Linked DNA regions of Saccharomyces cerevisiae S288C. The gene in region 4 interacts genetically with the main gene of each other region. Each region holds a gene or a part of one and is shown on either strand. Other genes may lie near its edges.

Evidence for each region.
Region 1: mutations in UTP23 (region 4) and YML003W together harm fitness less than expected from each alone (positive genetic interaction), as found in Saccharomyces cerevisiae (one large-scale study listed by BioGRID).
Region 2: mutations in UTP23 (region 4) and RPL4B together harm fitness more than expected from each alone (negative genetic interaction), as found in Saccharomyces cerevisiae (one large-scale study listed by BioGRID).
Region 3: mutations in UTP23 (region 4) and PFF1 together harm fitness more than expected from each alone (negative genetic interaction), as found in Saccharomyces cerevisiae (one large-scale study listed by BioGRID).

Annotation. Positions count from the first base shown.
Region 1 is NC_001145.3:261,702-265,199, reverse strand, and holds YML003W (uncharacterized protein), read right to left. Parts: upstream 1,718-3,498; coding exon 845-1,717; downstream 1-844. Other genes in the region: VRL1 (Vrl1p), read right to left, coding at 1-659; lactoylglutathione lyase GLO1, read left to right, coding at 2,515-3,495.
Region 2 is NC_001136.10:468,569-474,776, reverse strand, and holds RPL4B (60S ribosomal protein uL4 RPL4B), read right to left. Parts: upstream 2,925-6,208; coding exon 1,836-2,924; downstream 1-1,835. Other genes in the region: RAD61 (Rad61p), read right to left, coding at 1-731; DNA replication protein PSF1, read right to left, coding at 994-1,620; ATP-binding cassette transporter SNQ2, read right to left, coding at 4,353-6,208.
Region 3 is NC_001134.8:383,039-391,185, reverse strand, and holds PFF1 (Pff1p), read right to left. Parts: upstream 4,901-8,147; coding exon 1,970-4,900; downstream 1-1,969. Other genes in the region: ECM8 (Ecm8p), read right to left, coding at 1-959; DNA-dependent ATPase RDH54, read right to left, coding at 5,198-8,074. UniProt on the Saccharomyces cerevisiae protein: May be involved in vacuolar sorting and osmoregulation.
Region 4 is NC_001147.6:329,203-334,856, reverse strand, and holds UTP23 (rRNA-binding ribosome biosynthesis protein UTP23), read right to left. Parts: upstream 1,266-5,654; coding exon 501-1,265; downstream 1-500. Other genes in the region: DNA ligase (ATP) DNL4, read left to right, coding at 1-348; putative subtilisin-like protease YSP3, read right to left, coding at 1,966-3,402; ALG6 (dolichyl-P-Glc:Man(9)GlcNAc(2)-PP-dolichol alpha-1,3-glucosyltransferase), read right to left, coding at 3,806-5,440. UniProt on the Saccharomyces cerevisiae protein: Involved in rRNA-processing and ribosome biogenesis.

The DNA.
Region 1 (3,498 bases), on a different chromosome or scaffold from region 4:
TCATGGGTTAGATAATGAGCCACGGTACGTGCATATTTATCTGTTTTATTGATATAAGAAACCAGCTCCTCTTCAGTACAATTGAACAGCATGATCTTTATGAGAACTTTCGCGGCTTCTAAATTTCCTGCTTTTATCGATTCTATAAGCAGCGTAGAACCATCAATCGTTTCGTCCTCTAAAAGGTCTTCTACTGGAAAGTCGTTTTCATATTCAGAAAGAATATCTAATAAGATGTAGTTTTTATGATTTGTTATACATATGGATAGAATGGATTGTCCTTGCTCATTTCTGTAGGTCAAAATATCCTTGTATGTTGCCAGATCTTCTACTTCATTTGTGGGGTTTTCACATGACAACTTATCTAATAAATTCTTAGTTTTTTCACATAATGTGTTAGCTTTCGCCACGTTGCCTGTATTTTTGTTGAAGTCTTCGAAATAACAAACCACTGCTTCCAGTGTGGATACAGCATACCCTAGAATGCCGAATTTTGTAGAAGAAGAGTTATTCGAAAAATTTTGCAAATAGTAAAGATGACTTTTAAGGTGCTTTTGTTCACTTCTGCAAACAACGAGCACAAAAAGGCTAATTAAAGTGTCTGCATCCATCGTCATGTTATTCAATCCGTCTGGTAGTTCTAGTTGATGTGAATCCATTTCGGTAGTACCTGATAATTTCTGTAGAGTTTCAACTAATATTTTAGATTTTTCAGCGTATGAATGGGTCAAAGCCAACTTTTGAAGATGTTTGGACGCTAGATGGAGACGCCTTTCAATAAGAGTGATGTCGTGTAATTTAAATTCCCCATAATCTTTTGAGTAAAAATCTGTCAACAACTGGTTCACTGAAAAATATTTATTTTTTCAGTGTCTACTTCGTGGCCTTTGAAATGTGTAGTAAGCCTAGACCATATATCATCGTAAAGATTTAGTTCAAAATAGTCGTGTATAAGATCGTAAAGATTAGAAAAGTTCTTGAAAAGTGAATCCGATTTCATTCCATCAAATGCTTGTTGCACGATGCTTTCAAAAATACTTCTAGATGGATCATCACCAGGAGCGAGCGTTCTGTAACTCGAAAACAATTGGCCAAGCTGTGTTAATCGAGCAGGATGAATGTGCAATATATTCTCGAATGACGATCTTTCTTGCTGAAAAGAATCTATCGACAGATTTGGCATAGCATGTGCATTTTTTGGTATTTTCTCATAATTGTGAAAACACTGTAAGTAGTCGTTAGGTACAAATTCGCAATTTAAAGGTTGATCTATGAATAGTATGATAAAATCAGCCGCCCCTTCAAAGTAGTCATTAAAATTGGGTAATATTTTTGTCTCTAGAATCTTTAGTCTTCGCCTTATATGAAATCCATTTAAGGCATGGATCACATTATTCTTCCATTGAATAACAACGGTCTTACCATCTAACGTTTCATAATGACTGTCCCTTGAATTCGTATTTATGTAAGAGTTTTCAGTCATTAACAATATGTAAGAGTTAATAAACTCTGCATTATAACAGAGGTCATGTAACGGCAGTTTGCTCTTGACATCGTGGTAATTCAAAAGGTATTCTGAAGGAGGTGCTAGGAGGATAAACCTACGGGTTTTTAAATTAGCGAAAAGCTTTTTCAATGGGGATCTTTCTGGTTCGGGACAGTTAAATATAGCATTAACCAGCGGGTTCAACAGCGTTGGTAAATGGTAAACTGACATTGTCAACCCTAGCTAAGCCATAGCTTTTCCGTTGAGGAATTTACAATAAGGTGGTTCCTTTAGTTATAAATTGCAACTGCCAAAATTTTCGGGTAGCGGCAAAATTAAACGAAAACCTTCTGTCATATTAAACATAGTTTAGTGACGCAATGCACACACACTCATATATATGTATATATTTATCTATATCATAGGTGTAAGGCAAAGTTATCACGTGAATATACTGTTTAGTATACAAGTACGTTGATTTAACGGCTGAGAGATTCTCAAACAAAGTAACGCTTAGTTTAGCTAAAGTAGAATCGAAGCGCAGTGAAGGCAAGACGAGTTATCCCTTTATCACAAAATATAAAAAATAGGTAAAGAGGGGGGTGGGGGTGGTTCGGACTTTGCATCTCGGTGCATTAGTACCACTCAGCTTCAGTTATAGGAATACTGACAATGTTCTTGAGCCAGGGAGAACTGAAATTTCCATACCCTTTAACCCTTTATTCTTGAGCATATGATCTTATTTTTCCACTCAGCACAAAATACACATCCCGCATATGATCTGGACACTGAATAAACAAGGGGCTTTACGATGGAGTAGTAGACCTGGATACGTAGTCACCACAGGGATCCTAAACTGCGTCATAGTAAGTTTCTTTGATACTAGAATGTCCCTCTCTCGTAGTAGTTGATATCCCGTATTTCTAGTTAGTGACGTTTATAAATAGGGAGAAAAAAAATCGGAATAACATTTCCATGCCTTTTTTTTGACACTTCAGACCAGATACGCCACCAGCTACAAACTAACAATGTCCACTGATAGTACACGCTATCCAATTCAGATTGAGAAAGCCTCGAATGATCCAACCCTTCTGCTTAATCACACATGTTTAAGAGTCAAGGATCCAGCAAGGACCGTTAAGTTCTACACCGAACACTTCGGTATGAAGCTATTAAGCAGAAAGGATTTTGAAGAAGCAAAATTTAGCTTGTACTTTTTAAGCTTTCCAAAAGACGACATACCCAAAAATAAGAATGGAGAGCCTGATGTTTTTAGCGCACACGGTGTCTTAGAACTAACTCACAATTGGGGTACTGAAAAAAACCCAGACTACAAGATCAACAACGGGAATGAGGAACCTCATCGTGGATTTGGGCACATCTGTTTTTCTGTATCCGATATCAATAAAACCTGCGAAGAGCTAGAATCTCAGGGTGTCAAATTCAAGAAGAGACTCTCTGAAGGAAGACAGAAGGACATTGCGTTTGCTTTAGGCCCTGATGGATACTGGATTGAGTTGATCACATATTCTAGAGAGGGTCAGGAATACCCAAAGGGCTCAGTAGGTAACAAGTTCAATCATACCATGATTCGTATTAAAAACCCAACCCGGTCTTTAGAATTCTACCAGAATGTGTTGGGCATGAAATTATTAAGAACTAGTGAGCACGAAAGTGCAAAATTTACGTTATACTTTCTTGGTTATGGCGTTCCAAAGACCGACAGCGTTTTTTCATGTGAAAGTGTGTTGGAGTTAACTCATAATTGGGGAACTGAGAATGATCCAAACTTCCACTATCATAACGGTAACTCAGAGCCCCAGGGTTATGGTCACATCTGCATAAGTTGTGATGACGCTGGCGCCCTTTGTAAAGAAATTGAAGTGAAATACGGCGATAAGATCCAATGGTCTCCTAAATTTAACCAAGGCAGAATGAAGAATATTGCCTTTTTGAAGGATCCTGATGGTTATTCCATTGAAGTCGTTCCTCATGGTTTGATTGCCTAAAAA
Region 2 (6,208 bases), on a different chromosome or scaffold from region 4:
CTGTTGTCAGCGTTATTTAGGGACAAGGTGTTAGCTTTCTGATCTACCTCTTCTCCCATTATTTCATTTTCTTTATTTTTGTTTATTAATATTGTTCTAAATTTGCCATATTTTTTGTCTTTGGATGTGCGTATGCTATTATTCTCTATAGAGTCGTCCATCTTCATCTCATTTTCAAGCATTTTATTCAGTATATCATCGTCAGCTCTCGGTAGCTTCAATATGAATTCATTGATGTCATTGTATATTTTCCTTATTGATTCAAATTCATTGTGCATTGTAATGCTGTCTTCATCTTGTACGTCTGGTTCAATTGAAGACGTTATGTTCGCATCATGCTTTTGGTAAGTTCTTCTTCTTTTTCTCTTAGATGCCTTTGAACCATCAAGGAAATTAAAGGCACTTAACTTTTCATCTTTCATAAATGCCATTGAGGTATCACTGCTAGTGATAATTTTGACGTTTTGGTCATTCCTTTTTGAGTCCAGTTGTGAAGAGGGCTTCTCATTTGCACCATCAAATGACGACGAGCTGTCCTGAGCCTTTCTAGGCTCGTCCAATAATCCCTCTATCGGGTGGTCTGCAATACTGCTCGAAATGGTAGAACTTACATCAGGAATCACGGAGTTTACATCGTCATCACTAAATTCAACATCGGAAGAAGATGGCAAGCCTTTATTAGATCTAAAAGGAGTTCTGAGAACTGGGCCCCTCTTTCCATATGCTCTCATTTTTTCAGAAACAGGATGCTTTAGGGTAAGAAGATGGTTTCGTTTTGCGATAGTTTCTCTGCGCAGTTTTTCATTATTATAATAAAGTGAAGCTTCGTCATCAATAAAGTCGCGTAAAGCTCAGAAAGCCTCCTCAACCAAAACTTACGAAATCTATTAAAAAGGGCTGAAGTAAACATAGAAGGGAGTAAATTAGAATGGAGGTATGTATCTTGCTTTATAAAGGATTATATATCATGAAGACCAGCTTGAAAGCATTTTATCATATCTTCTGCAAATAACCTTGTTGAATCAAACGCTCTACATCAGACTGCCTTACGAAAAACTGGGAGTCTTTAATAAGGTTAAACACGCCGTATTCAGTTTGAATCTCACCAGCATCTTTGAGCACTCTAACATCAATAAATACATCGCTCGGAGGCACTAAAGAGCCGGATAAATCAATATCGACCAAGTCACCACTTTTTAAATCAGTAATTAAATCGCAGTATTCTTTCAAATATTCCTGCTCTTGATGAGAAAGGTTATTTGTGTCTTGTTGGCTAAACGTAATGCTACTCATCAAGTCCAGACCATTATTATTCCAAGCCATAGAATCTAGTATGTCTGTTCTCAACCTTTGGTATGCTAAGAGACATCTCTTGTTCCTTTCCATACATAACAAGGTAACGAAATACTGGCATTTAGCCACCTTATCATCTAGCATTCCTAGTTGCTGCTGTTCTTTAAGATATTCCGTATTTTTACGTAAATTTGAAACTTCTTTCAGAATATTTCGTATTATATCTTCATGATACATGGGTAAATTAACATCTTGATTACTTCTTGCGTACAGCTGTTTTGTTCTTTTAGCTTCTAATACTAATTTATTACCTAAATCTCCATACATGATTCTCTGTGAGCATGGCCGTTTATAAACGATTTTCCCTCACATCTATTTTTCAGCTTTCTTCGTTAGTTATTTTAAATTACAATTTTCGCGTTGTAACGACAAGAAGGTTTTGAGCAAATCTGACGTTTCGACTTTAAAGAAAACAAAAAGGTTTGATTAAAGACTAGTAACAAAGATATTTAAATTAAAGTTAAAGATCTATACTATAAATTCTAGTCATGCTTCAAGGTTTCGGCGAAAACAGCAGCTGGCTTGGTACCAGTCTTTTCAGCCTTCTTGGAACCTAGCTTTTCAGCAGCAAAGACCTTGGCGTAAGGGTTCAATCTCAACAAAACTTGCTTGTTCTTCAATGGGTTCTTCTTCAAAACGTGAGTACGCTTTTGAGTAGCTTGGCCAGCTGGTCTGATAGCAGATTGGATTTCAGAAGAGTTGATAATTCTGGTGACATCAGAAGTGGAGATGATGTGGGATGGCAAAGTGTAACCGACCTTGGAGGAGGCAACGGTTTCGGAACCCCAGACTTGGTCCAACTTGGTGAAAGCAGCTTCGGTCCAGATAACGAATCTACCCAAGTGAGCACCTGGAGCCAATTGCAACAAGTTCAAAGAAGCAACGTTGGCAGTTTCAACACCTGGAACGTTTCTCAAGGCCTTGACGATACCGTTGTCTTCAGCGTAGACAACTAATGGACCTCTTCTTTGAGTCCATCTTCTGTTTCTGTACTTACCCTTACCGGCTCTCAATTTCTTGGACTTCAAGACCTTCAACAAGTCGGAGTGAGCACCAACAGCCTTCAAAGCAGCAACAGCTTCCTTGGTCTTTTGAATAGATTCCAAGTCAGTGGAGACAACCAATGGGATTTCTGGAATCTTTTCGACTCTGTGACCTCTGGCCAAGACCAAAGAAGCAACAGCAGTAGCAGCAATAGCAGAAGCAGTGGCGTAACGCTTTTCGTTGTGGTTAACCTTAACGTTCCACTTTCTCCAGGTCTTAGTTGGAGCAAACATACGACCACCACGACACATGTTACCGAAGGCACCTTGACCGGATCTACCGGTACCACCACCACCAACTCTTGGAATACGAGCGACGGCACGACCGGTACCCCAGGATTCAGCGGAGGTTTGGTGACCAGCCTTTTCAGAAACAGCGTAAGCTTGTCTCTTGTTCTTGTTCACAGAGGTGAAAACAGTGTGGACAATGTCAGGACGGATAGGAGCGGAGAAGACAGCTGGCAATGGCAAGGCATTGGCAGTAGCTTCACCAGTCAAAGAGTGAACAGTAACTTGTGGACGGGACATTATTATTGGTATATACCCTAGTAAATGACTATGAATATGTAAGCGATTGCTGATAGGAAAGAAATATTATTTTCAATAATAATAGTAGTGTAACGTATTCATGATCTTCATGAAAACTTTTCCAGAGTACTTGAAAAAAAAAAAATGTTAAAAAAATTGCGTCTGCGCGATGCTTTCGTAAATAATTATATTTCTAACGGAATAGACAATTCATGCCTTCAGTGCAGTTCTTAGCAATATGCGCAGTTGTTTTATAATTCAGATACGCTGAGGAAAGCGCTTCTAAATTGTTATTTTCCCATTTGTTCCAATCTATCAAAACTAACGTTATCTATATTCAAAAATTCCTGTAAGATGAATACCGTTACGATAAATAAGGCAGGACTTACGGAACATGTAGGGTCCGGATAAGGGTTGCTTTATTGCGAAATGTTCTTATAGTGCAACCCTTAATAGAGTTATGAAAACTTTTCATAAAACAGAAAATTTTTATCACTCTTTTCAACCAAGCTGTCGAATGAACTATGCAGAAAAAAAGAATAATAAAAAATTACAATTTGGTAATTGGGAGAGGTCGCTGCATGCACTTCTTAAGACAAAAATAAGTTTACTCATTTTCTAAGTTGGTCAGCTGTAATCTATCGTGGTCATTTCTTGTTCTCACTTCTTTCGAATATTATTTCTGAAAAATACTGCTGCAATATAGTATATGTTGTTCAATCACAAAGCTCCAGGGTATGACTTGCCACAATAGTGATTTGCAAATATAAGCAGACATTAGTGGGCAAGTTAACCGTTTAGCAACACTATTGTTTCTACTGGATGTCTTTCCTTTGAGTAATATAGAATGACCTTCCTAAATAGAATAAGACACAGAAACTGTGGTATGGAGGCTGTTGTTTTCCTGTGTCCAATTTTTTTATTTTCTTTTGTCTAAAGAAGGGACAGGACAGGTAAGGGTTGACAGGCCAGATAATTTACCAAGTTTTGTTAATCATATGAAAGGGATATAAAAATGAAACAAAATAGAAAAAATGTAGAAACACTAAATTTGAAGTTCAATTTTGGTGACCAGTTTGAGGAGCCTCAGTTTTTTTGTCTTATTCTTTTCGTTTAGCTTGTACTTGCAACACCTTGCTTAGATCGTAATCCAATATTTTGAGTCGAAACCCAAGGGTAAAATAAACTTTTTTACTCAACAAGACTTGACTTTTGAAAACTACGAGAGTTATACACAATGTAACTATTAACATGGTAATACAAGACTTTTTTTTTGTATCTATTATAAACTATACTTATTGTTAATTATATGAATGTCAGTATAAAAGTGAAACGAGATGTACTCGTGTCTTCTTCTATAGTGTAAAATGAGAATTAAGAATTAAAGGCAGATGAATGCACAAAATGTTAAGTTATCTGAAGCCCACATTACTGCTTCTTTTTCCTTATGTTTTTAATTTTATTGAGTATAGATACGGGGCTTAGGAAGGAAGATTGTCTTACATGGAAGAGGTAATACACACAAACCATAGCAATGATATTGAAGAAAATGTAAATCCAAAATATTCCAAAATTTCTCCACAAGTAGCTATACTTAGAGCTGATATGTGTCAAATAATTATCTCCAACTTCGTAAATACAGTATGCACAATCTGACGTAGCATCAGGATTTTCGATGTAACCAGTAGCTTTTTCCAAAAAGGGTTTCATGTACTCTCCACACGTTGAGCCGTTTGGTGGGTTGAAGTAGTTTAGTTCTTTCTTTTTGCATACGACTGGTTTTTTGTGCAGCATAATTCCGACCAGATTCTGAACAAAATATGTGTATGGGGAAGCCTTCCACATGAATGTCCAGAAGCCAGGCATCAATGAGACAGGTTGTGTAACACCACAGAAAGAAAGCATAAATGACAGACACAAACCTAAGATAACATTAGCGGATGGAAGGTTCGGTGACATATATAGGATCATTAAGCCAAGACCAACATAGTATAACTGGAACATAATGCAGTAATTCAAAAAGTACACCGCAGATCTTGACGCTTCGAAGAAGATTCTTAATGGAAAATACGATGAGACAAAGAAAATTGTCGAAAAAAATAAATGATAGGGAAGTTCGCTCAAGTACTGAGTGATCAACACCAGCGACCAGTGAAACATGTTAGATTGGGATTCCCTAACTTCAAAAAGTTCTCTGGAGGCAATAGCACGTCCTTGGATTTGGTTCATTGCAGGAGCAGACAAGATAATAGAGATAAATGCCGCGAACATCGCATTTTGTAAGCCGACATAACTTTTACCAACATTGAAAAATGTGAAACCAATATACAGACCACCAACCAGCATTAGCATCATCTTTGACATGATGTAATTCAGACTTCTCCAAAATGAAGTAGAGGTTCTGATTAAAACATATCTGAACTGGTAAGCATAAGAAGTAGCATATTTGGAAGGTTTGTCTCCAACTTCGGATTTAGTTTCTTGTTTCGATAAATCATTTATTAAATCCTGTACTTTTTCTTTTGTTTGTTCAAACTCGACAGAGTTCAACCATTTTTCGTGCCAGTCTTCTTTGACGGATGCTGTGGCACCGGCACCAATAGCCTCTAAAATATATTCAGCAGGATTTTCACTAGAATCACATTTTCTTGCCCCATTCCTTTCAAAGTAGTTCAAAATGGTGGCAGAGTTCTTACCAATATCTCCGAAATAAACAGTTTGTCCACCCTTCCTCAAAAGTAGTAATCTATCAAACTCTTCGAACAGAGTAGCTGAAGGTTGATGGATCGTACAAAGAATGGATTGGCCAGCTTTTGATAACTTTCTTAATAATTGAATAATGGCCCATGAAGATTGAGAATCCAAACCTGATGTAGGTTCATCGAGGAATAATAATAAGTCTGGTTTGGCGACTAGTTCAACACCAATAGACAGCTTCTTTCTCTGTTCAACGTTTAAACCACAACCAACCTCACCAACAAGGGCTTCCGCATACTCTTCCATTCCCAAAACTCTGATGATTTTTTCCACATAATCCATTTTTTCAGAATCAGGCAAATGCTGAGGGCGACGCATACGAGCAGAAAACTGCAACGATTCCCTAACAGTTAACTCTGCGATATGTATATCCTGTTGTTGTACATAACCTGTACGCCTTTCGAAACTCGCATCAATGGGACGTCCATTGACAAGCATATCACCAGTAATGATACCGACATTTCTTTGAGCAAGAGTATTTAACAAAGTTGTTTTACCAGCACCTGACTCTCCCATCAAGGCCGTCA
Region 3 (8,147 bases), on a different chromosome or scaffold from region 4:
TCTTCTCTATTGCGTGTTTGAATATACGACATCCCATTATAATCAGCATTGAGGTTTCTTAGAGACTCGAAATCCTGAAAGGAATCCCTAATGATTTCATCGTATTCACACCAACCCAAACGGATCCAATTTTCGCAGTGGGGGCATTTCACATGGATTCTCCTAAATCCCCCGTTCAACGTTTGAGTGTAGTAGGCCAAAGGAGAGGGAATGATGGATACAGTAAGAGAGTTCAAAATTTTTTTGCTAAACTCTGGCTCTTTTAATACTTGAATTTTGAAATTAAGTTTTCCCTGGATTTTTAACAGCTTAGACTCGAAATGGTATAAAGTGTGAGGCTTAAATTCAGACAAAATGCCGTGCGCAAAGAATAAATGTTTTAGGTAGTTTTCAGCTAGAATCCAATTATTCCCCTGGCAAAATCTGCACATCAATTCCTTTTTCTTTTCAGAGTATCGCATGTATTTATACATTATCAGAGAATCCAGACTGTTGGGGTTTGACTCTTCGGTATTGGATCTACTAGTATTGTATAGTGCCTGTACACATGCTGAGGGGGGACAATTTTGATTTCTTTTTATTTTATAACCAAATTCGGAGTATCTGTCTTTCATCCAGCCTCGGATACTGTGATGTTGGAAACACCTTGGAAGAAAAATCAGTTGCTTAGAAATACTTTTAAACACATGCTTACAATCAGTGTTGGCTTTACCAAAGTCAAAATTTTCGCTATCGTTGAATATTTTCCTTTGTGGGAATATTTTGTTCTTGATGGTTTTTCTTTTGAGTGATCCACTATTATTGGATACATTCGTGGTGTCCGTTAAAACCCTCGAAAGAGTGGATGTTGAAGAGTCAGGTCTTTTAGACTGTGTAAATTCAGCATTACTGTCTATCCAAAAATCCACACCATTTGTTTCTTCAATACGTTGTGCGGGAAAAAAGTAGCCATAGTCCATCTTAAGGCTTTTAAATAGCTAATATTAAATACTGTTAGGATAGCAAGAGTGGGTGATTTATTCGTTAGAAATATACGAGTCAATAAAGTCTAGTACCGAATTAATGTATTAGCGAACAAATTCTTGTGGTTTTTTATGAAATCATCACTACTTCAATGTGTTAAGGTGTATTTTCGAAACATTTTTCGGCGCTGCCAGTAAGACGTACGACCCTTTTTTTAGTGTCAGTAACTATAAAATTATGACGTCCGAGAATAGCGTAGAAATTAAAAAGGGTAACAATGATATCTAGCAGCTTTCAAAAAAGGGAAGGGCGGCACAGAACCTTACATTGGACAATGCTTTGCCTTCACTTATACGATATTTTGCATTTTTTTGCTATCAAGATTTGGTTAATACTGTATCGTGTAAATTGAGATCCCACCTCCAAAACTTGCTTTTGGACAAAGCGATATATTAAAATAACTTAAATATCCGCTTAACCAAGCTCTTGATCCAAACGATATCCGGCTATAGTCAATCACAATCCCTGAAGAACCATTTCCAAGACCATTATCTTTATACTTAATAAATATATAGATTTACAGGTTATTTGTATATCGCTAGCATTATTGCGTGCTATTTTCTAATAGTTACTGGAGGGTTATATAATTTAGGACTTTATAAAAACGAGCATTGTATGCACTTGCAGCAGTGTAGAACTTATCTGACGAAACATGTTTCTTACTTTGTTAACTGATATCATTAGTGATTTTCAATACCGTCTGAATATCCACTATAGCTGTCTTTAGCGCTACGAAGAGAGCACCGTAGAATGGTTCCAGACGGATTCTTGGCCAGTAAAGTACATTCATAAGTTAAACTCAATAGTTTTTCCTTTTGTTACGAAAAATTTCTCAAAATATTTTTTATTATTTTGTTCTTCTTGTGGGAAGAAGCGAAGCCTTTGGACAACTCCCCCAGTAGGCGAATTTGAGTTTATAAAAATTTACATTTAAAACTAATTAGAATTATAAAATTATAGCATCCTTGACAATAACTAATCCTTTCTGTTCGTTGGTAAAGGAAAAACTTAGAGGTGCGTAATTTATCAATTCATCAAATGCTGGAATTTTCCTAACAGCGGTACCATTTACAACCGATTCCGAATCATATTCTCCCCAATAACAGCTAATAGAAACAGACAGTTCGTCTTTTGTCCCCAACTTGTCATCCTCTACATTTCCATCCGTCAAAAGTTTTGGAAACCACTGGACTCCGATATGGTAAGTTTCCTGATCGAAATCAAGTTTATGCAATTGCAGTTCGTTTATGCCAGAAGCAGACTTGATCGTCTTCGTGATATTAGCTTTCTGTGGGGCCGAATTTTTCTTTTGATATACCGTGATTTCTCTGACAGGTGACTTCGCCTGATGTCTACTTTCAAAAGTTAAAGTGCAAGCCCTGTTCTCCTTCACCTCCAAAAGTAACTCTGCAACTATTGGTTCGTAAGGAGATCTCTCTGTTGAGTTTCGGTTATTATGTAAAACATGAACCTTGACCATACTGCTGATGTTCGTATTTCCATTCGTGCTCAATAAATTAGGTTGCATTCCATCATACATACAAAGTTCCATTCCATTGGTTACGGAAGTACAGTTAATATGTGTAGAGCTATATTTTATACTTGGTAAATCTTGCAGCATAGGTTTTAAAAAATTTCCTTCTCTTCCAAGGACATGTACACTGGCAGCGTTCCCTTGAGACAAATCAATATTTTGAGAAAACCTTACTTTTAATGGGTTACTATTGGTAAAGGGGTGCACTAGGAGCGTTTTGGATGCGGAAATCAAGAAAAGCAGTGCAGTTAAAGAAATTGTGATATAGTTGACCTTATAGAAAAAAGGTAAAATTGGTAGCGCGATCAAAATACTGCCCACCATTCCGAACCTGAGTACATCAAATGTAGCCTTACTTCCTTCCTGGACAGTATGGTTTAGTGCGTCCATGATAACATCCACACTGTTAAACAAAATAAATGATGGTATTGGTACAATTAGCAAAAATTGAATGATCCAGGCATAATCGGTATACTCAAGTTTTAGAGAATTTTCTCTAGTACTCAATCCTTCCTCCATGCTATTAGACCCCTTCAGTAATGGTACCCTTTCATCATGTTGTTGTGACGATGAATCCATACCATGATCCTCGTCAACATTATGTGATGGGCCAGCTGAAGTAGTTGACACATTATCATCTTGGATACTTGCTTGATCGTCTTGTGACGATGTAAGTTGATCTTGGGGTTGTTCCAAGTTTTCCTGACCGTCTCGTTCCATATCTATTTGAGAATGGGAGCTGTAATTGGAGTGATGGTCCCTACATTCTCTACCAAGCCTCTTCCTTGTTCTCATTCCCAACGCTAGTGCAAGTAGTCTCAATATAGCAGCTATTGTGCTCAGAAGAAAGAAAATCGAGAGAGGATAAAGCCCGGTATACCTATAGTCGGAACTATACAATAACTTCGACGTAAAAAGTAAAATGGTCCATAAAATAATGAACAATTCGATAATTGATAGGCTTTTCATATCGGCACAGGGGAAAAAAAAATTGGAGCAATTAATCAGAACATAACTGGTAAAAATTACTTGAGTGAAAAAAGCCGAGATAGGCCAAAAGTAGTTCCTTGAGAACGTCAAAGGATTGGAACGAATTATGTCGTTAGAGAAAAGCTTTTGGACAATAATACCAGCGGCTAATGAAAGAGGAAAGCGTGTCCACGATAGCCATGAATAAGATTTCCAAGTCATTCTATCACGAGAAATTAAATACAAGCCAATGGCCACAACGGGTGAAACTAATAGAAATATGCAGTTCCAATAGAAAAGCGTTTTAGCGCTTATAACGAAAAACTTCAAACCGATAAAATCAAAATAACAAGCCGGCGTTTGGTCAGCTGTATCCAATGAATTAGAAGCCACATATGCACTTAATTGTAAGGAAGTATGTAGCATATGCCATAAAGATGCCTTGGAGGTATATTGTATTGAATCCTTTATGGTATGATAAAGGTTTCTCGGTTTGTAGAATGCGACATCCCAGCCTCTCATGCCATTTTCTTCGTAAATCTTGTAGTCTGTCTCACTCCTGACATATCTGCTATAAAAACCTTGCTGGTAGATAGAGTTACCAAATGGATTTTCCTTAACAGACTGTTGGTATATTCTTGCTGTTGAAGTATCTGAAGTTCGGAACAGTACAGCTTTACCACCAGCACCAGTTCCCTCTAAATTTATCACATACTTGGTTAAATTAGACCATGAGTGATCAAAATAAGTTGATGCACCTAGTAGGCCAAACTCTTCATTATTATTAAAGTTGAAAATTAAAGTCCTGTTCGGTCTGTGCTTTATATGGTACTTGAGGTTCGCTAGTAAAGACACTACACCCATGCCGTCATCGGTAGCTCCATATCCTGTGGGTACAGAGTCGAAATGAGCTGAAAGAAGTAACCCTTCTTCCTCAGGATTTTTACCCTCAAGCTTAACTAATATATTAGAAGATTCAAAATATGTCACTCTCGAAAACCTAGATGACTCATTGAAAGGATCTTGTTGCTGAAATAATATGGATCTCTCGCTTTCTTTGTCATCTGAAACACTTGCAAACGAAGAATTCCCTGTAATTTCAAGAACCCTTTTGAGCAAGTAATCATGTACTTTATCATTTTCTTTGGACGTGTACGGATGAAAAGAGGCCGTGATAATCTGTAAGTCCCCCCATGCTGTTTCTAATAAGTCATTGAATTCAGGGTGCTCATCCTCTTTTGGTAGATTGAGTTTATAACGTTCATGATCAAAGATATAGAGTAACGTAATAATCGAATAGGTGATTAATAGAAGCAAACTCAAATTTGTTTTCCGGTACTTTAGAACTGATCTGAATACACTTTTTAATTTCATGCCGTGATTCTTTAACTTTACCTATCAATTTATTTCCTTGTAGATAATTTTTCACATTATTTTTTTTTTTTTTTTTTTGGGACTAAAGGCTATTCAAATCTTTCAGATGTTTGATTTGCGCCCGCAGCGTATCGTTATCAAATTAGTGAAAACGTGGATATCAACTTGAATCAGCAATAGGCCCTACTTAATATGTGACTTGAACCTGAATGAGTCGTGCAAGAATAAACCTATTAAATACAATCAGTGATTAAATAATAGCTATTTTATTTAGTATATAAGTGTCCATATTTGGCGTCATTGTTCTCTGAGACATATCTCGCCGGGCTTTACAAACGCAAAGGTAATACTATCTTTCAATTCGGTGAACGAATCTGTGATAACCTCATCAAATAATTCATCTTGTCTTGCTGGATCGATATGCTTATAATGAACGAGACATTGCCTAATGTATTGTGACTTTTTGGCATCATCGTTGGTGGCTGCTTCATTCATTTTCTTTTGTAAATCCAGCGCACTTGTCCATGTCGTAGTGCTACGCTTTCTCAGCTCTACGGTGTTCTGCTGTTGATTTGTTTCAGGATATTCAATTTCCTCACCTAAACCATCGCAAGAACAAATTAAGTCATGTGTGTTACTCTTGGTATCTGTATGGACAGAAAACAGGTCCTTCAAGTCCTCTTTATTGAAAAGATCATCATTAGAAGATTCTTTATTTCTCATCTCCGAGTCACCTAGAAATTTTTGGCTCAAACTGTTCTTCATTAATTGCCTTTGCAATATTTTCTCATCGATACACCCAGTTGTGACAAGTCTATATATGAAGCACGGCTTTTTTTGACCATCTCTATGAATTCGTGACATCGCTTGCAAATCTACTGAAGGATTCCAATCATTATCAAATAAAATAAGTCGCGAAGCACCGACTAGATTCAATCCTACACCTCCCGATTTTGCACTCAACAAGAATCCAAATATGGCTGGATTCCGATTGAAAGATGTGACGATAGAGTCCCTTTGTTTAGCAGGTATGGAACCGTCGAGTCTGCAATGTGACATCCCAGCCATATTCATCAAATTTTCAATTATATCCAATGTTTGAGTGTAGTTAGACACTACGACGACCTTCTCCTTGGTACCCTTCCTAATACCTTCTAGTAATGTCATTAATACCTTTAACTTACCAGAGTTCAAAGAACGACTATAGCTGTCCTGAGATTGGGTATCCTTTATATGTGATTTGTAATAGGGATCTGAGCCAACCAATCCAGGAGAGTTACAAACCTTTTTCAGTAATGTTATTAGTCCTAGCGAAGAACTGAACGTCAATTGTCCAAAATCTAAACGTGCGCCCTGCAAAATATCTTTGAATGCCAATATCTGTTGGCTGTATGGTTTACAGAATAAAATTATATCCGTCTTTGGAGGAAGGTACTTTTCTAAAATCGCATTTGTTCGTCTCAAAATAAATCTTTTCGTAATTTCTATCATCTCTTTTGACCTTTCTTCCCCCTTTTCCAACAATTCTTCGTTGTATCTGTTTGCAGTGTCTCTGGCTCTAGTTATAGGGATAATGAATCTTCTTTTGAAAGAAGCGAAGCTTCCAAGGATTCCTGGGTTTATGAAATCTATAATAGTGAAAAACTCATTAAGATCATTTTGTATAGGAGTTCCCGTAAGCAAAAGCTTCCTTCTTATGTCTAAACTCTTCAGCGTATTTAAAATTTTAGAAGCCCCGTTTTTTAGTCGATGGCCTTCGTCACACACCAGCATGTCAATCAAATGTTTATTTTTCTCTAATTCTTCAGAAACACTCAAGAGTTTTTCGTAGCCAATAATCAAGACTTGATAAGTTCGTTGCACTTTTAAAAAATTTCTGACAGCCATTTTATCCATATCAGGAGAATTCCTTGAGCTTAATGTCAAAACACCTATTCTTGACAAATTTAACCATTTTCCAAATTCTCTTTTCCAATTTCCTATTAAAGTAACGGGACAAACGACTAAAATCTTCTTACAAAGTCCAGTTAATGGTATGCCTGATTGCGAACATGAAACTTTTGATGCAAAAGGAGTTTGCCTAATTAATGTCCAAATCAAAGTTATACTCATTAGTGTTTTACCTAAACCCATATCATCAGCCAAAAGGCATCCACTAATATCTGAGTCATTTTCTAACACTAAACTTTTAGTAGTACAATCGATATCCGGATTTTCAATAGTTGGTCTTGCCAAGCCCATTAAGCAATCATACATGAACTTCACCCCTTCCCTCTGATGAGGGCGCAAGAATTTGCCCAGTAATGGATCAACAATTACGTCAACTTCAGCGGCTGCATTTTTGTTCATTACTATAGGATTATCGATTTTGTTGACATCAAATACTGGATAATATTTTTTGGCTTTGGAATTTTGACTGGTTTTAGGTACTGTGGTCATGTGTTCATTTGTTTGCTTTGTTACTGATTTGAATCTTTTCACAGTGTTTAGTGAAAACAGCTGAGACAGAGGCATTTGGTATTTGCCACCGTCATTCTTCGTAGAAGGCACTGTTTCTGTTGTGCTTGTGGTCGGTGGGCTGGGATTTCCCATGTTTTGTGATAAGGCTTCTTTGGCGCTACGTATTTCTGCATTTTCCTTCAATTCGTAATCCAATTGTACTTCATTGGAGCCTGCTTTGAAAAGAGTTTCGAAGAGAGAATCTGAATCACTTGGTAGCATACTTGACCCAAGAAATTTCCCTGCTTCGTTATAAAAGCATAACTTATCGCTACTGGCTTTTAAGGTAGCGTAGCCATCACCACTCCAAGTCTTGTGCTTTTTGGTAGTAGGCTTCCTGTACATGATAGTAAAATATCTAGTGTTTTCATTTGAGGACAGATTATTCGGCTTCTTGGCAAGATTTAAAGTAGGTCCCGCCGAAATGCTTCTTTTCAAGTTGACAGTAACTTTGGCTTTAGATATAGGGGCTGTTGTGACTGCAGTGGCGGTTGGTTTGAGTTGTGTGTACTTATTTGATCCAACCCTTCTTGGAGGCTTGAATGGCTTGTTCTCATATTTCGGTATCTGCATTTGAGTAGTACCGGAATCAAATACCGTTTGATATACCGAGCTGTTTTTTACCTCCTGTAGGATCTTCTCTCTTCGTCGAGGTTTAACGCTTATTACCGCCATTTCAATACAAAAACTCGATTCTAATCGGTTATTTATAGTAGGTTTTCTTTTTTTTTTTTAGCTCTTCGCGTTT
Region 4 (5,654 bases):
GATTCTGAGGTTCGGCGGTTTCCATTATTTTTATTCTCCAACAGGATTGCATACGTACCACGTCGCAAAATTAGCACAGAAGATGACATTATAGAAATGAAAATTAAGTTGTTTGGTGGAAAAATAACAGATCAACAGTCACTTTGTAACTTAATAATTATACCATATACTGATCCTATTTTGAGGAAAGACTGCATGAATGAGGTACACGAAAAAATAAAAGAACAAATAAAGGCTTCTGATACTATACCGAAAATAGCCAGGGTCGTTGCCCCTGAATGGGTGGATCATTCTATTAATGAAAACTGTCAAGTGCCTGAAGAAGACTTCCCCGTAGTCAACTACTGATGGTGCGTTTTGCGGAGGCTTAATTTTTTGAAGTTTATTTAATACTATCCTACATATGTACATTAAATACTTCCGTAACGTTTATCAATAAGAGTGGAAGATGCGCAATTATATTCAAAAGATTGGCCAGTCAATTAACTTAAGGAAAAAATTTACTGCGCGGCTGTGGTCCCATTTGAAACGGGGACGTTAGTGTTGCTTTTGTGTTTCCTTCTTCTTCTTTTTTTCTTTTCTTTAGAAGTATCTTCTTTGTCTTTCACCTCATCGCTGGGCGAGTTGACTTTCTTCTTCTTCTTTACGCTCAAAGGATTAGGAGCCTTTGGACCAAGCTTTCTTTTCTTAGTGATAGATTCCTTTCCTGATCCATCACCACTTTCTTGAAGTTTTTCAATATTAGGATCATTGAGACCCTTATACAATTTTTGTTCTTCAGTAATCTTGCTTGCCTTGGCACTCGCCGTACTGAGAGGTTCCATAACCATAACAGACCTGGTTAAATGGATTAATGGAACACCCGGAACCGTCCTCAGCTTCCTCCTCAAATCTATGTCCTGAGAAGCAACCACATACCTGTGTTTATTTGCACCGCTAATATTAACGACGCTTTCGATGCACTCCGCAGGTGACTTTGGATCTTTAAAAGAGTGGTTACAACGACGTCTCTCAAATTGTTTCGCTAAATTAATTGCACCATCATTTCTAGTTTCATATAACGCTTGTATGCAACACTGTGTGATCATGACCTTTACGTCTGCTTGCAACGTTCTTTTCAACCCACTCGGTAGATTAAAATTAGAATTATTACATTCTAAAACAAGCTGATTATCAACCAAAACTTGATATGGCTCACGGAACTTAAATGTGTGACTGTAAACAAGAAGTTGTTTCCTATATGACTTAGCCCTCTTTTGACGCATGTTAGGTATATCGGGAGCGCTTACAATAGTTGGTTTTTATTATTGGATTGCTTCCCTTCTTGCTCATCACGATAATTATACTATTGTTTAATTGACATCTTGAAAATTTTTCTTCCCGAAGATCATCGCATCGCACCGCATGTATATTTTTTTTTTTTTCCTTAGTAAATGATAGAAATAATCAAAACAAGAAGATGCCTCTCATACATAGAATACATTATCGAGCCGAGATCACAATTGTAGACATTCAGTTGTAACTTGTACCTATGATCTGAGGTAGTTTTTAAAAGGAAAAACACTGCATTGCTCGGTTGCTTTGGACGGTGACAGAGGAAGATAAAAATAGTTTCACACCCTTTAAAAGATTTCAATGATTCTGACGGTAAACCCTTTTATCTGTTGAAGGATAGTTTTGAAACCTATTTAAAGTGGTTGTCGTATTTTATTTACCTCCTTAACCCTTATCTAGCAGTGACTAGTATAAATTCGTAAAAAAACTATTCACAACCAAAAGAACTGCATCGCGAACAAAAGTTTATCTTTACTACTAATTTATTATGTATATTATTGAAAGAATTTAACCTACTCGTAGGAACAAAAAGCCGATTAGCGATTTCAAACGTCTTTCTTAGGCTTATGCTGACCTGTATGAAAAGAATAAAATAAAATCTCCTGGGTGCTCCTAAATTCAAAATCAAAGCTACCAAAAACCATCCAATTTCTTACCTCCCCCATTATATATTAATTTGTTAGGAGTATCATCACCGATATCACCCAGTACTCCCTGTGTACTAAATTTTAGGACTTTTTCTTTCAATTCTTGAGGTGAGGGAGCGTCGTTGAAAAATTCACTGTCTGGTGCAGGCTGTAATGATAAAAAGTAACTTAAAATACCAGCAACGTGCGGGGACGCCATGGAAGTACCTGATAAACTTAAAGTTGCATTCCTTGAACCAATATAGGTGGACATAATATTTATACCGGGAGCAAACACATCAACACATGTGCCCCAGTTCGAAAAGAATGCTCTATCATCACTAAATGTCGAAGCACCGACCGTAATACTTTTTTCAGCTCCTGCTGGTGAACTGAGACAAGCATCTTCATCCTCATTTCCTGCCGCAATAGCAAAATGGACACCGCTATCTACAGCTGCATTTACAGCCATTTCCATAGCTAGCGATTTGCTACTTCCCAAAGAAAGATTGGCAGTCGATCCTTTGAATTCTTTATTCTTTTTCTTCGACGATTCTATATGCTCCTTAGTAACATACTCTATACCTTTAATAACATCTGAAACCGTCCCTTCCCCATTAGAACGAAGAACTTTGACAGCTACTATTTTTGTATTTTTGGCTACACCAAAGTGCTTCGATCCGATAATCCCCGCACAGTGAGTTCCATGACCATTCAAATCAGAAGCTTCATCGTTTGCTGGTATAACGGCTCCCCACTCAGCACGCCCTTCAAAGTCCTCGTGCTCGGTATCAATTCCTGTGTCGAGTACATATGATGTGACACCTTTTCCGGCGGCATCTTCATATAAATATTCCAAATCTTGTCCATATTTTGGTTTCTCCCTGTGCGAAACTCTATGTAAACCCCAAGGCGCTTCTTCCTGCAATGACGAATTAGATATTTTTACTGTAGTTTCTTGCTCTACGAACTTTATGATTGGGTCCTGGGAGATTATTTTAATGATTTCATCAGTGAAATAGCCAGTATAACCTCGAAATAGACCATTTATGTCAAAAAAATTATCAATACCTCCAAATTGAGATTTAGATGATACTGAAGAAGAAATTACCCTCCAAAAAGCGTCATTTTCTGTAAGCTTACCTACTGAGGTACTATGATCCTTCTGTACCACTTGCATATGCGATTGAATCTGCTGGAGGGAAATATCTTCATTAAAGACTATGACATACCGATAAGGAAGAAACTCTGTTTTATGAGCGACATGTTGATGTTCAGTGTGAAAATTTCCAGGATCATGCTGTCCCAAACCTTCTCCTGCTCTTACACTGCGAGTACCATCAATATTCTCAATAAAACGAACTATCCCGTCGAAATCAGGGATGATCATACAAAGACAGCAATTTGCCCAAAGTATAGGTAAGATGGTAGAGAATTTCATGTTTAAAGATATAAAGTGGTTGAACAGATTGGAAACCTGAACTTACAATATAGCAACTTGATAAGTTACGTGTTATAAGGACTCAGTCAAAAAAAACTCTTATCTAATAATATATATATGAGTGCCTGTTATCAGTAGCCGCCCTTCCGAGATTCGAGATTCGCCATTGCTCGGAAGACGCGAACGGTGGCTACTCCAGGAGAGAAAATAAGCGGAAAAGCTAACAATACTCACTGCCAAATGTAGTAGTTTTGCCTTACCATTATCTGTACCTTATTTAGATCAAATTATAGTGCATTTTTCAAATATTTTTAAGAGTTGAAATAATCTTTACTTGTAGAGCACATCTTTTATATCAGTTGCGTCTGACTGACATTGTACAGTTATATAAGTTAAAATGTAACTACAAGTCCTTCATGGATTTGCTACCGGAAGTGAATATCTTGTAATAAGACCATAGCCAAAATATGCTAAAGCAAATGAACCCAACAGCACAGTTCAACAACACCCACAAGTCTGGATATTTCGATGGAGGTGCTACAAATTGATCTAAGAAATGATAAAAGCCCATAGCAATATACGTTCCTATGATAAAACTTTTCCAAACCACATTATATGGCAGTAAGCTTCTTCTTCTATAGTCGCTATTGATGCTGCTGATAGAAGGGCCAGGAGTTAAAGATTTTGGCAAGAACCTTGGTGTAATAAAACTGAAATTTCCAATCAGCCAATTGCTTAGTAAGAAAGATACGGCATACTGTAAATGAAGACCGTCCTTTTTCAACAAAGGCCATAGCGTAAACAAAGCCACATTGTTTATCCAACTTACAAGAGATAGAACATTCCAATCAGTAGAGGAGTAGAGTAGTGTAATAGGCAAAAGTGGGATGAGGATAGTTTTCTCATGTACTTGAAAGCTAAAAAGAAAAAAGGACATCGAACATGCGATTAACACGTATGGGAGAAGATGCTTTTTGGGATGAAGTAATGTCATTATCATGGCTGGTAAGAAACCAATCACGGTGGCAATCAATGAATATAGCTGGAGTTGTTGTATAGTGAATCTTTCCTTGTATTTTACAAACACGTTCGTAACGCACCAGAAGTTAGCAACCTTGTCTTCGAAGATGCCCCTGGCAAAAGGGAATATCCTGTGAATACATTGGTGAATATTCTTTAATCCTCCTCCCAAGAAATATAATGGCGCAAATATTATAGCAAAAGTTGCGAGTGTTGCAAACGCAATAACCGTCAATCTAGCTATGTTAAATTTGGGGAACAGCAATGATCGACTTAATAGATAAGCAAAAAAAATCGGTGCATAATACAATGCCATTTGTTTAAAACAAATGGATAGGACAAAACAAACGGCCGCCATAGCATAATACTCATCTAATAAGTTATTTATGGCATAAGCAGTAAGGCCAAGCATGACTGAATTATATTGAAAGTGCCCATGGTCAATGAGCATTAATGAAGGTTGGAACAAAATCGCTGATGCCGCAATAGATTGTCCTATGGGCGACTGGTTTCGATATCTACCAAGCCACTTAGTAAAGTATATTACTGCAGGAAAGTAAAACAATATGTCGCTAATGATGACAGTAGAACGCATATATGTTTTCAGGCCATTATCGGGGGATTCAAAGCCACGTGACTTTTCTAGTGCAAACCAAGATGGATTGAAAAAAGATCCAATTAGGCCCAGAAGGTACGAATGAAATGCTGTTAATGGTGGATAGTCCAATCCCCAGTATTGCAAATCATACCAGTACCACTTAGAAAGCGGTAAATGTTGCGTAATTTCCATCCAATGTCTCTGAGCCTCAAAATCGCCGTACAGCGGTGGACTGCCTTTCCCAGAATATGGACCAAGTCCAATTGTGCACCTCAGTATTACAGCACATACAAAGATAATATATTCTGGCAGCCATTGGTTCCCCACTGGCCTAAACGGATACAAAAAATCATACATTGGAGAAGCATAAAATGATTCTTCTGCTGGTTTGTTCACCAGTAACCTTTTGCCAATGGCCATTTTCTATGCGAAGCCTGATGTGAAGAAAAGAATTCCTGACACCGTCCATTCGGAGTGCCATTGCTTTAACATGAGCAAATCCCTTTTCTAACTTGGAAGTATTGTTCTCGCTGAGTATTTAACACGCACAATATTCGAGCGAAGTATAATCCTGCAAAAATTCAACTATAGATTTCCGGATAACCTCCGACGTTGAAATTATATAAAACTTGTA